Linked DNA regions of Macaca mulatta. The protein of the gene in region 2 binds, or shares a complex with, the protein of the main gene of each other region. Links are inferred from orthologs where the notes say so. Each region holds a gene or a part of one and is shown on either strand. Other genes may lie near its edges.

What was found. The genes of interacting proteins can lie anywhere in the genome.
Region 1: IQCG (region 2) and DRC3 share a complex: the UniProt entries of both Homo sapiens proteins name them as parts of the nexin-dynein regulatory complex. The link is inferred for Macaca mulatta from reciprocal best matches to the Homo sapiens genes DRC9 and DRC3.
Region 3: IQCG (region 2) and DRC12 share a complex: the UniProt entries of both Homo sapiens proteins name them as parts of the nexin-dynein regulatory complex. The link is inferred for Macaca mulatta from reciprocal best matches to the Homo sapiens genes DRC9 and DRC12.

Annotation. Positions count from the first base shown.
Region 1 is NC_133421.1:19,536,589-19,540,582, reverse strand, and holds the start of DRC3 (dynein regulatory complex subunit 3), read right to left. Parts: upstream 2,828-3,994; 5' UTR 2,620-2,827; intron 1,754-2,619; 5' UTR 1,643-1,753; intron 1-1,642. Other genes in the region: TOM1L2 (TOM1-like protein 2), read left to right, coding at 3,287-3,338. UniProt on the Homo sapiens protein: Component of the nexin-dynein regulatory complex (N-DRC) a key regulator of ciliary/flagellar motility which maintains the alignment and integrity of the distal axoneme and regulates microtubule sliding in motile axonemes.
Region 2 is NC_133407.1:1,021,829-1,025,390, reverse strand, and holds part of IQCG (dynein regulatory complex protein 9), read right to left. Parts: intron 2,481-3,562; coding exon 2,319-2,480; intron 1,150-2,318; coding exon 1,075-1,149; intron 1-1,074. UniProt on the Homo sapiens protein: Component of the nexin-dynein regulatory complex (N-DRC), a key regulator of ciliary/flagellar motility which maintains the alignment and integrity of the distal axoneme and regulates microtubule sliding in motile axonemes.
Region 3 is NC_133419.1:119,883,233-119,887,564, reverse strand, and holds the start of DRC12 (dynein regulatory complex protein 12), read left to right. Parts: upstream 1-1,505; 5' UTR 1,506-1,550; coding exon 1,551-1,763; intron 1,764-2,061; coding exon 2,062-2,134; intron 2,135-2,560; coding exon 2,561-2,635; intron 2,636-3,703; coding exon 3,704-3,823; intron 3,824-4,332. UniProt on the Homo sapiens protein: Component of the nexin-dynein regulatory complex (N-DRC), a key regulator of ciliary/flagellar motility which maintains the alignment and integrity of the distal axoneme and regulates microtubule sliding in motile axonemes.

The sequences.
Region 1 (3,994 bases), on a different chromosome or scaffold from region 2:
TTGGGGGAATTTTAATGTGTTATATTTGGCTGATATTTTCTGCAAAGTGTTTGGCTTTTTTTTTTGGCCAGGCGCGGTGGCTCACACCTGTAATCCCAGCACTTTGGGAGGCTGAGGTGGGCGGATTACAAGGTCAGGAGATCAAGACCATCCTGGTCAACATGGTGAAACCCTGACTCCACTAAAAATACAAAAATTAGCTGGGTGTGGTGGCGCATGTCTGTAATCCCAGCTACTCGAGAGGCTGAGGCAGGAGAATCGCTTGAACCAGGGAGTTGGAGGTTGCAGTGAGCCGAGAGCGCACACCACTGCACTCCAGCCTGGCGACAGAGTGCGAGACTCCATCTCTCCATCTAAAAAAAAAAAAAAAAAAAAAAAAAAAAAATAGGTGCTATACTTTGGGAAATGACTCTTAATTTTGATTTGATTTCAAAACTTTAACTCACTTATCCCTCTTACTTCATCAGGGCCTTGGTACCTGTGACAGATCAAGTTTGCTTTCAGTCAAGCCCAGCAACTGCTATGCTAGGAAATGTGGGATTGTTATTACATATGCTATTTTATAAGCACATCAGGGCAGCATTTGGATCCTTACTGTGCATCTTTTAGTAACTCACTTCACCTATCTAAGCCTTGGCTTTCCCATCTGTAAAAGGTGGATAATTCCTCCCTCCTGCATTTGTGTGAGATCACGTATTTAGTCCAAACATGGGTAGTGAGGAACTGCTACATGTTGTGAATAAAACAGATGGATTTTTACCCCTGCTTCAGGCATGAATCAAACAATAATACAGCTATTTAATTACAAACCATGACAATTTGTAGGTGTAGGGAACTATGAAATCGTACATTAAGGGCACCTGGCCTGGCCAAGGAAGACAGGGCTGATTTGAAGGACAAGTAGGAAAGAAGGAGGAGATAACTTTGTGGCAAGGCCCTCGAGGTGGGAGAGAACAGACGTGTTGCCCTTTGGCTGAAGTGATGCAAGGTTGGAGAGGTCTATGGGAGTTCTGTTATTATCCTAGAACCCCTGGAAAGCACCTAGGGCTTAATAAGGGCAGCGACATTAGCTGGTCATGGTGGTGCATGCCTGTAGTCCCAGCTACCTGGGAGGCTGAGGCAAAAGAATCGCTTGAAACCGGGAGGTGGAGGTTGCAGTGAGCCGAGATCATGCCACTGCACTCCAGCCTGGGCAATAAGAGCGAAACTCCATCTCAAAAAATAAAAAAAATAAGGGCAGCAATGTGATCAGATCTTAGTTTTTAAGAACTCACTTTAGCAGCAGTACTGAGAATTGCAAAAGTACTGAGGTGAGAGATGACCAGGGTGTTAGCAAGATGTGAATGGGAGAAATTTCTAGAAACTTAACTTCCATGTAGGGCTAATAATCACCAATATCCAGATAAGAAAACAGAAACTAGTTAAAAAGGTTAATTAACATGCCCAACTTCATACACTTAGCATACGGCAGAGTCCATTTTCCTAATCATGACTCAACTGTATCCAGGGTACTGGGGACTATGGTTGCCACAGCTCACAATGTTTCTCACAGTTGTCATGGGTTCAGGGCCAAGGCCCAAACAGTCCTCCTCTATGGGGATCTTAGTAGTTTACCACCCAACCTGGGTCCCCTTTGACTTACCTGATGATAGTGTTGTTGAAGACCAGAGAGGTTGGAGCTGTGGAAAGCAGCAGAGTTTTACACAACTGTCAACGAAGTAGCCTCGTCGCAGAGAACAGATCCAGAATTTTCCTGGGAAACGATAACCTGGGGTCAACAGGATCTGAAAACTATAGTCCCTATTGGCCATGAATTGATAAGAAGAAAATTGGGAAAATTGGTTGGGTGAGATGGCTTACACCTGTAATCCCAGCTCTTTGGGAGGCCGAGGTGGGAAGATTGCTTGAGCTCAGGAGTTCAAGATCAGTCCGGGCAACATGGCAAGACCCCGTCTCCATTTTAAAAAATAAATAAATAAATACTGAACAAAAATTGTTTTTAAAAGAATAAAATCAATCACTTACTGAATGCTTACTGTTTGCTCAGTGCACAAACATTATTTAAGTACATGTAAGCTCCGGAGGCTATAAAAAAGGAAATCCTAATGCCCTTATTTTCCAGCTAGGGAATCTGAGGCTCCAGGGAGGGAAAGGAACTTGTCCAAAGTCATACAATGAATTACTGACAGAGACAGATGCAGAACCTGAGTATCCGTATTCACATCCAAAGCAGTTTATACAGTACCAAGATGAAATCATTTGACAGTTATGAGGTCAGATATGATGGCTAAATTCTGGGAAAAGTTATCAGTGGACAGGGTACCTCTCTTTTATGAAAGGAGGCTGGAAGACGGAACCCCTTAAAAGTCGATTCTAGCCCTGCTCCCTCGGGAAATGCTCCCTTAGTATTTCTTTTTTATTCAAAAGCTTGATAAGCCCAGGACTAAAGGGTCTTGGCTGTGTCAGCACGACTGTAAAGTGGCTGGGAGAGGACCTACGTGCTCATTTTATGAGAGGGGCCGGGACGGCGTTCTCCGAGAAAAGGGTCACAGGAAAGAGTTAAGTCGGGCGCTGTCTGTCCCTGCGAGTCCTCCCTGAGCCTCAGCTCCCAGGTCTCACCTTCTCAAGCGCTGGGAACTCCGCTGGTTCCACGCAGCTGACGCGTCTCCCGGTTGCTGGGGAACCAAGCGCCGCGACTTGGTTGCTAACGGGAAGTCAGGAGGGAGACATCCTGGGTGAAAGTTGACAGATCACGTGACCACATCTCCTGGTGGAGAAACACTCCTAACACCAACCAGCCGTAGAGAAAACAAATGTTTCTCCAATCAGCACTTTCTATGGGCGGGGATATTCCTAGATTCACCTCTGTTCCGTCCTGCTATTTGAGTGATTGACTCGTCTTTTGTCCAATAATAGTAAGAATCCTTTAGATTGACCAATATTCTGAGGAATCAAAATGCGCAACTTCCTCTTCGGGGGGCGGGCCAGGGGAGGTGCCACCACGGCTGACAGAGACTGCGGTGACCTACCTCGCTCCTCGGCCCAATCGGACGCTGCGGGGTGGGTGGGGGCTTTGCTGACGGAGGTGTAACGGCCAATCGGAGGCGGGCTTTGTAGGTGTCCCCCAATAGAGACGCGGTAAGGGGGCGGGGCCAAGGTCCCGGCGCTCGGCGTTCCAGAGGGTGGGGAGGGGGCAAGTGTCAGTCAGGACGGGAGTCCGGCGGGTTACCGCTGAGACCTCGGTGGCAGACAGGGGGCCCGGGCCGCTGCGTGTTGTCCACCCAAGATGGAGTTCCTCCTGGGGAACCCGTTCAGCACCCCGGTGGGGCAGTGCCTCGGTAAGGCCGCGTGTGGGGCGGGAGGCTGGGCGACCGCGGCAGCTGATCCGGGTGGTGAGGACCGCGGGCCTCCTCTGGGCGCCGGTGCCACTTCACGAGCGGGCTGGGCCTCCGCCAGGCGCGGGTGCCACCCCACGAGCGGGCTGGGCATCCTGGTCGTCGGGCCTTCACTGGGCGCCGGTGCCACCTCACGGGCGGGCTGGGCCTCTGCTGGGCGCCCGTGCCACCTCACAGACGGGCTGGGCATCCTGGTCGTCGGGCCTTCGCCGGGCGCCGGTGCAACCTCACGGGCGGACTGAGCCTCCGCCGGGTGCCGGTGCTATCCCACGGGCAGGCAGGGCATCTGTGTCCTGGGGCCTCCTCCCGGGCACTGGTGCCACCTGACAGGCGCCAGTGCCACTCTGCCAGGAGGCACCCCGAGGCCCAACTTGAACTCGGAGATGCCCCAGGCTTCCCTGCCCATCAGGACTCAGCCCTTCCTTTTGCTTCTAGAGGTGGTACCAACTGCTGGTCTGCTTCCCCAATGCCCTTTGGGAGATGCCACTGCATGTGTCTTTATCCAGCCCAGCAAGCTCGCTGCCACTGCCCCAAGGACCTAGTTCTCCCAGACCCTTTGTGGGATGTCACCTTCTTCTCCATCTTTGTCCCTCCTCTTC
Region 2 (3,562 bases):
TAAAAATCCTCACTCAACTGGGAATGTTATTTTTATAACGTAAAAAATTAGTAAATCTTTTTTTTTTTTTTTTTTTAGAGACAGAGTCTCGCTCTGTCACCCAGGCGGGAGTGAGTGGTGTGATCTCGGCTCACTGCAAGCTCTGCCTCCCAGGTTCAAACGATTCTTCTGCCTCAGCCTCCCGAATAGCTGGGATTACAGGGCTGCATCACCACGCCCGGCTAATTTTTGTATTTTTAGTAGAGATGGGGTTTCATCATGTTGACCTGGCTGGTCTAGAACTCCTGACCTCAGGTGATCCGCCGGCCTCGGCCTCTCAAAGTGCTGAGATTACAGGCGTGAGCCACTGCACCTGGCCTTTATTTTTCTTTTTTATTTATTGGCCACTATACTAATGGGAAAACATTTTAATATAGTCATAATTAAAAATAATTAATTTTAAAATTATGTCTTTTTTTTTTTGAGGCGGGGTCTTGCTCTGTTGCCCAGCTGGAGTACAGTGGCACAATCTCAGCTCACTGCAGCCTCTGCCTCCCAGGTTCAAGCAATTCTCCCACCTCAGCTTCCTGAGTAGCTGGGATTACAGGTGCCTGTCACCACGCCTGGCTAATTGTTGTATTTTTAATAGAGAGGGGGTTTCACCATGTTGGCCAGGCGGGTCCCGAACTCCTGACCTCAGGTGATCCACCCGCTTCAGACTCCCAAAGTGCTGAGATTACAGGCGTGAGCCACTGTGCCCGGCCCATAAATTTTTAAGTCATAATTTGACTTACTAAATTTTGTCATAAATTAAGTCATAATTTAAAAATTATGAGTATACAGCAATATAGGAATCAAAAAATTTCTTATCTAAGCTCAATGATAAAAGCGGAAAACAAAATTTTACTTGTACTCTCTCAGATTGTAACTATATAAGATATCTATTCAGATGCACAACCCTGAAATAACATGTGAGCTCAAGCTCATTAGGCTGAAAGAATGATGGCTGGTTTTTCTTCAAAATATTTTTTTTGTTTCCTCAGTATGAGCAGAGTACAAAAAGACTCAAAGCACAGAAAAGTTTTGGTGACCCACCTGCTGCTGCTTTCTAAGGAACATTTCAATGTCCATATGAATCCGGGCCTCTTCTTCGGTTTTCATCCTGAGTTTCTGTAAGAACAATAATCAGACATCAGCACGTCTTCCCTGCAGGGCTGTGAATCAGAAGTTCTCAAGATTAGAGGAGCAGCTTGGTCGGCAGCTCAGGTTTCCTTTACCAGCTGGGATGCCGGGAATTCAGTTTCGTGCAATTCCTGTTCACAAACACCGCAGAGACACATGACGCGGCACTGTCTGGACTGTGTTAGTGTCCCTAACGAAAGGTGCGCAATCCCGTGAATTGAAAAGAGGTGCCCATTGAAGGAGAGAAACGGTGCGCCAAGGGCACAAGGCTGTGGGGCCTAAAAAAGGGAAATTCCAGAGTGCCAGGAAGACTGTTGTCGTGGCCTTAAGCCACGTTAGTCTCAGAGCAAGGAGTCCTCCCACACACAAATTCCATGGTCTAAGGACGTTTGTTCCTTCTTCCGTCTTCCCATCTGCCTGCTGCTCTTTGCGTGTGTGTGTGTGTGTGTGTGTGTGTGTGTGTGAGACAGAGAGAGAGAGAGAGAGAGAAGGGAGTCTCCCTATGTTGCCCAGGCTGGCTTCAAACTCAAGGATCCTCCTGCCTCCCTTCCAATTAGCTGGGACTAGTGCCTGGCTTTGTGTATGTGTGTGCAGTGTGTGTGTGTGTGTGTGTGTGTGTGTGTGTGTGTGTGTGTGCGCGCGCGTGCGCGCGCCATTTCGCATTCCCCTCAAAGAAGATCTACCACTTTCTTCCTCCTGATATTTTTCACCATGACTTCTCATCTCCATAAATTCAGGTTTGAATGAAGTTCACCTCTCAAGATGCTGTATTTCTTACTGGAGGAGTGAAAAGTACTGGCTAGATAAAACAAACAGCAGCAAAATCCTGCCATAACTAAGGATCTTGTTTTGCCCTCTCCCTATAATTAGAGAAATGGCGATTGGTTTGATAAAATAAGAAGTGACCGAGGAGAGAAAGTACAGCCAATTTTCAAAGTCATTATGAGGCAGGAGAAGGAGGCTACAGCCCGTTGGAATCTCCGCTTGCGAACATGTGTATCCTCATTTAGGCTTCCATTTTCAACCTCAAGTGGAGGGGCTGTTGCCGAGAGAGATGGAGGAAATCTTCATCTCCCTCCTTTGTTAGCTGAGACAGGATCAGGAGTGACAGCTCAAATGCCATCTCCTGGGTTCTTCACTAATGTCCCAGGGATTACCTCAATCTCTTCCAGCAAGACTTCCTCTGTTCTGTTACACTTTCTCTGGGTCTGGGCAATCTGCAGCTCAGTATTGGTTTTCATGTAGCGATTCTCCAAGTTGGATTTTGCTTTCATCTCTTGCAGTTGGTCCTTGAGGTTAGCAATATATTCATTCTGACTCTGCAATGGAAAGACCAGGTTTCTAAATTGAAAATACATTCTACCGCCATTCAGTTCAGCCAGTGGCTTAAGGTTCCCTTTTATAAGTGTAAATCAATAAGGAACGGGAACTAGTTTTCCGCTGTCACACAACGGGAAATTTAGCCAACAATCATGCAGAGAGGAAAGTGAGTAATACAGCAGTTCGAAGAATCAGGGCGAATCAGGGCGGAGATTAGTTCCCAGGCACATTACTGGTATGTCCATATTTCCCACACAGATTTCTCATTTTGGTAGGAAGAACACTGGTCAAAATGATGAAAAGAACTGACTTCCCACCCAGGCCTCCAGCTGTGTGAACTTGGCCTAGTCAAATCTCCAACTTTTTTACTTTCTATAAAACACACACACACACACACACACACAACACCCACCCTGACTGAAGTATCTCAGAGATTATTAGGTTTCATTGAGAACACGTGTGAAAACGCTTTCTTTTTGCAGGTCACCAAGTGCTTGGCAATTGCGAGGACTCAATAGTCATTAAGAAAAATATTTATTCAGCACCAGGCTGAATATTTATTCAGCACCAGGCTCTTCCTAGAGCTAGGCTCTAGGAAAATCATGGAGATCTAAACAGACATATTCCCTGCCCTCATAGAGCTTACAGTCTAATAGAAGAGAGGTGGTTAAAAAGAGACAAACACATGTGTAAACTTTCAAAAATTGTGCAAAATGATAGAAAAGGAAAGCTTGACAGGCTGTGGGAGGAAATAACAAGGGAGGAGTCCATTCGACTCTGGAAGGCCTGAGAGGGACTCTCTCGGGAAAGTGATGGTTCATTCGATGTACATTAGACTCTGGAAGGTCTGAGAGGGACTCTTGGGAAAGCGATAGTTCATTCGAGGTACATTAGACTCTGGAAGGCCTGAGAGGAACTCTCTCCAGAAAGTGATGGTTCATTCGATGTACATTAGAGTCTGGAAGGTCTGAGAGGAACTCTCGGGAAAACCATGGTTCATTCGAGGTACATTAGACTCTGGAAGGCCTGAGAGGAACTCTCTCCAGAAAGTGATGGTTCATTCGAGGTACATTAGACTCTG
Region 3 (4,332 bases), on a different chromosome or scaffold from region 2:
GCAGTCGCAGCATGAACCCGGGAGGTGGAGCTTGCAGTGAGCCGAGATCGTGCCACTGCACTCCAGCCTGGGCAACAGAGCGAGACTCTGTCTCAAAACAAAAACAAAAACAAAACAAACAAACAAAAAACCTAAAGAAACGGTCTGCAGGTCCCCTAATCCAAAAGGAGAAAAGCCCTGAAGTGTCTGCTGTTTTCACTCTAACCAGTATGGTGCCCAGAGATCCAAGTGGCAGATAGATGGCAAGCCTCAGGATAGCACAGAGCTGCAGGGAGAGTGAAGGCTGCCTGACAAGGGAGGGCCACCCGTCATACTCTCTCCCCCACATTAATTATTCCAGCCACTCCTGGCTCCAGCAGGACACTAAGAAGTATCCCCAAAGGGAGTCACCCCCAATATTGCCCAGTAAATAATTTAAAAGCAAAAATGTGGGAAACTCAGGAGAAGGTCAAACAAGTCCACTAGAGGGAGCCCCAACCAACTCTATGCTGCAGGGAGCCTCACAAAGCAATGTCTCAACACCTGTCTGAAAATCAACCACACAAGGGAATGGGGAAATGTAGCAATAGATTAAGTAACTAGGAGAGAAGATAGCCATGTAAACACCTAGCTAAAACACAGGCTTTTCAAGAGCTACAAAATCAAACATTTAAAGATCAGGAAACTGATGCTGAGCAAAGTCAAATGGCTTGCCTCAGTTTACATATCCACAGTTGGGACTCAAACTCAAATGTCTTGTCTCTAACCTGAGCACTTTCCTGCACACTTGCATCCCTCTAGGTCAGTACCCTAGAGTCCATGGGTCTGCTGTTCCTTTGTGTCTCATTTCTCTGAAGTGGGAAACGCCCTCGACTACCTATTCCTGTACTTATTACCCTCATTCCACAGTGTACTGAAGAGGATCTTCAGTGGTTTGGGGTTTTTGTTTGTTTGTTTGTTTGTTTGTTTGAGACAGGGTCTCCCTCTGTCATCCAGGCTGGAGTGCAGTGGTGCAATCATAGCTCACTGCTGCCTCAACCTCCCAGGCTCAAGTGGTTCTCCTGCTTCAGCCTCCCGAGTAGCTGAGACTAACAGGTGTGCACCACCCTGCCAGGCTAATTTTTTAATTTTTTGTAGAAATGAGGTCTCACTGTGTTGTCCAGGCTGGTCTTGAACTCCTGGCCTCAAGTAATCCTCCTGCCTCAGCTTCTGAAAATGTTGGGATTATAGGCATGAGCCACCGCCCCCAGCTTAGATCTTCAGTTTTAAACCTACTAATGTCATTTTGCTGATGGGACCTCGGGATGTCAATTGTCCAACATGGCTACTGTCAGTCCTTTTCCTCTGTATCAGCACAACATATTATCTCAGATGTGTACATCTGAATTTGGAAGTCTCCAAATTGCAGGCCATGTCTACGTGGCAATGAATCATAACCAATCGGCCTCCAAAGCCCTTTCTTTTCAAACTATACTTAGGGTTTTGGGATAAGGAAAGAACTGACCCTTTGAGACCTTGATATTTTAAGCTTTGTGAGCTGATTTAGCCCATTCCACCTTCCTACGAACTCCATGTTTCCCAGTTGCCTGGACAACATACAGCCTCCCGAAACCCAACCTTCCAGCCCTCAGTCCTGCCCTCAAGAGAAATTTGTCACCAAGGATTGGCTCCCAGGACCCAGGCCCCGCCTCAGGCTCCTCGCTAGTTGGGCCTTCTCTCTGCCACTCCCCACGGGTGGGTCACTCCACAGGGAGCCCCAACACTGGCAGGAGAGGATCCTACAGGTAGGAAGAGGGGGTTGAGGATGATGGGAAGAGGGAGGGGAGCAGGTACAGGGATTTATCTAAAAGAGAGTTGTGAGGAGTGACTTCCGTACAGTCAGCCTGGTTGAGAGAAAAAACTTCACCCTCCCCGTTGACCCCAACCCTGCCTGAGGTTCCAAAGAGACTGTGAACTGACTTTTCTGAAGAGTATGAGATACAAATTTGGAGTAGAACCAGGAGACTCCCCTGAGACTCCTGATTCAGTCAGGAAAGCATCCCTGTGTCCAGACCTAAACATAAGGTCCCCTCCTTCTCCCAGGACAGCAAGGAGATGCCACTTAAAAACAAAGAAAAAGGGAAGAAATCTGGGGCGCAGAAGAAAAAGAACTGGGGTGAGTCATGGTGGGTGGAGGTGCCCCCTGCTTCTCCATGTTCTGGCATGAAGACCACGCAGAGCTCCTCCAGAGAGAATTCAGCCTTCTACATGACAGGATGGAACTCTCTTGACCTTCCTCTTTCGTGTCCTTGAAGTCAGATGCAGGGAGCTGAGGAAGTGGGGAAATGGTCACTCACGCTCTCCTTTAAGCACCATCTAGCTTTGTGCCTTCCTAATATATTTGTCATGTGTATTTTGCATATCTGTTATGTGCTGGTTGGTAAGGACACAGTGCTGACTTCAGTAGACTCTGCCACCATGGATCCCTCATTTAGTGGTCCTCAGGTCTCCTGTGGCAAAAGTGCAGGGTGTGGGGTGAGGACGCAAGGAGAGTGAGGAATGCTGAGATCACGAAGAGCTGAGGCTCTGCCACTTGCCACAGCAGGTGCAGATGTGGAGGCTGAGTCCAGGCACAGGCTGGTGGTGCTGGAGAAGGAGCTGCTCCGAGATCACTTGGGTAAGGAGGGTAGAAGTTGGCATGGGGGTGGGCAACAGGGCAAGTGAAATGGGGCATTTCTGTATCCTGGGGGATTGGAGAGTTGGAGATACAGTGGGGGGCTAAGTTGAACCCTAACCATCCCCTAGTGGAAAAAGACAATGAGAGAGGGGTGGGCAGTGAGAGTTGATAAAGGAAGCTTTTTTTTTTTTTTTAGACAGAATCTTGCTCTATTGCCCAGGCTGGACTGCAGTGGTGTGATCATAGCTCACTGTAATCTCAAACTCCTGGACCCCAACAATCTTCCCACCTCAGCTTCACGAGTAGCTGGTGCACACCACCCTACCTAGCTACTTTATTTATTTATTTATTTTTCTTTTTTAAAATTTATTTTATTTTATTATTTCATTTTATTTTATTTTACTATCTTTTTTTTTTAAGACAGAGTCCTGTGCTCTGTTGCCCAGGCTGGAGTGCAGTGGCGTGATCTTGGCTCACTGCAACCTCTGCCTCCCAGGCTCAAGTGATTCCCCTGCCTCGGCCTCCCAAGTAGCTGGGATTACAGGCACACAGCCACCACGCCCGGCTAATTTTTGTATTCTTATTAGAGACAGGTTTTCACCATGTTGGCCAAGCTGGTCTCGAACTCTTGACCTCATGATCCTCCCACCTTGGCCTCCCAAAGTGCTGGGATTACAGGCATGAGCCACTGCGCCTGGCCCTATTTATTTTTCTTATAGAGACAAGGTCTCACTCTGTTGCCCAGGCAGGTCTCAAACTCCTGGCCTCAAGCAATTCTCCCACCTAAGCCTCCCAAAATATTGGGATTACAGGCATGAGCCACCATGCCGGGCTATCCGGAAAGCTATTTTGTATAGGCAGAACATGGAGAGAGTCTTTACTTCTTAATAATGAGGAGCCTGTGAGACTCTAGGGATAAAAAACAAAAACAACAAAACCCAGAGAGAGAATAAGAGGCTGGACGCCCCGCCACCAGATTTCTAGAGACGGGCAAAATTCATCAAGTTCATGGGGGCTGATTTAGCGGGCCCCAGCCAGTCCTGACAGTGGCTCTGGGACTGCTCACAGCTCTACGGAGGGATGAAGCCCGTCGAGCCAAGGCTTCCGAAGACCAGCTGAAGCAGAGGCTGCAAAGGGTGGAGGCTGAGCTGGAAGGGGCCCGAAGTGAAGGGAAGGCCATATATGCAGGTGTGTGGTCTGTTGAGCAGGTGGGCAGGAGACAGGGGCCTGGAGGAAGACAACCAGCAGGGTCAGATGATGCAAGGAAGGGAAACAAGGAGGGCTTCCAACTGCCAGGCCTGGTCTTGGTCTTCCCCGAACAGTACAAATCAGGCAGGATCCTGCAGGAATCAAAGGCAGGTAGGTTCCTGGGATCCCAGGCAGGGGCCTGCCAGGATGCCTGGTGCCATGTGCTTGATGCTGTGTAGGATACGCATGCAGTCATAGCCATCACCTCAACCATCCTATGGGAGGGGAGAAGGACTAGCATCCCCATCCAAAGCTGGACGGTGGGGGAGGTGGGTTGGGCTTCCTTTCCCTTCCTCAGGTTTTCATGGTCTCTAGCTTCTCAGAATCACAAAAAGAACCAAGAAGACCATGGGCCGGGAGTGGTGGCTCACACCTGTAATCCCAGCACTTTGGGAGGCCGAGGCGGGCGGATCACGAGGTCAGGAGATCGAGACCATCCTGGCTAACAT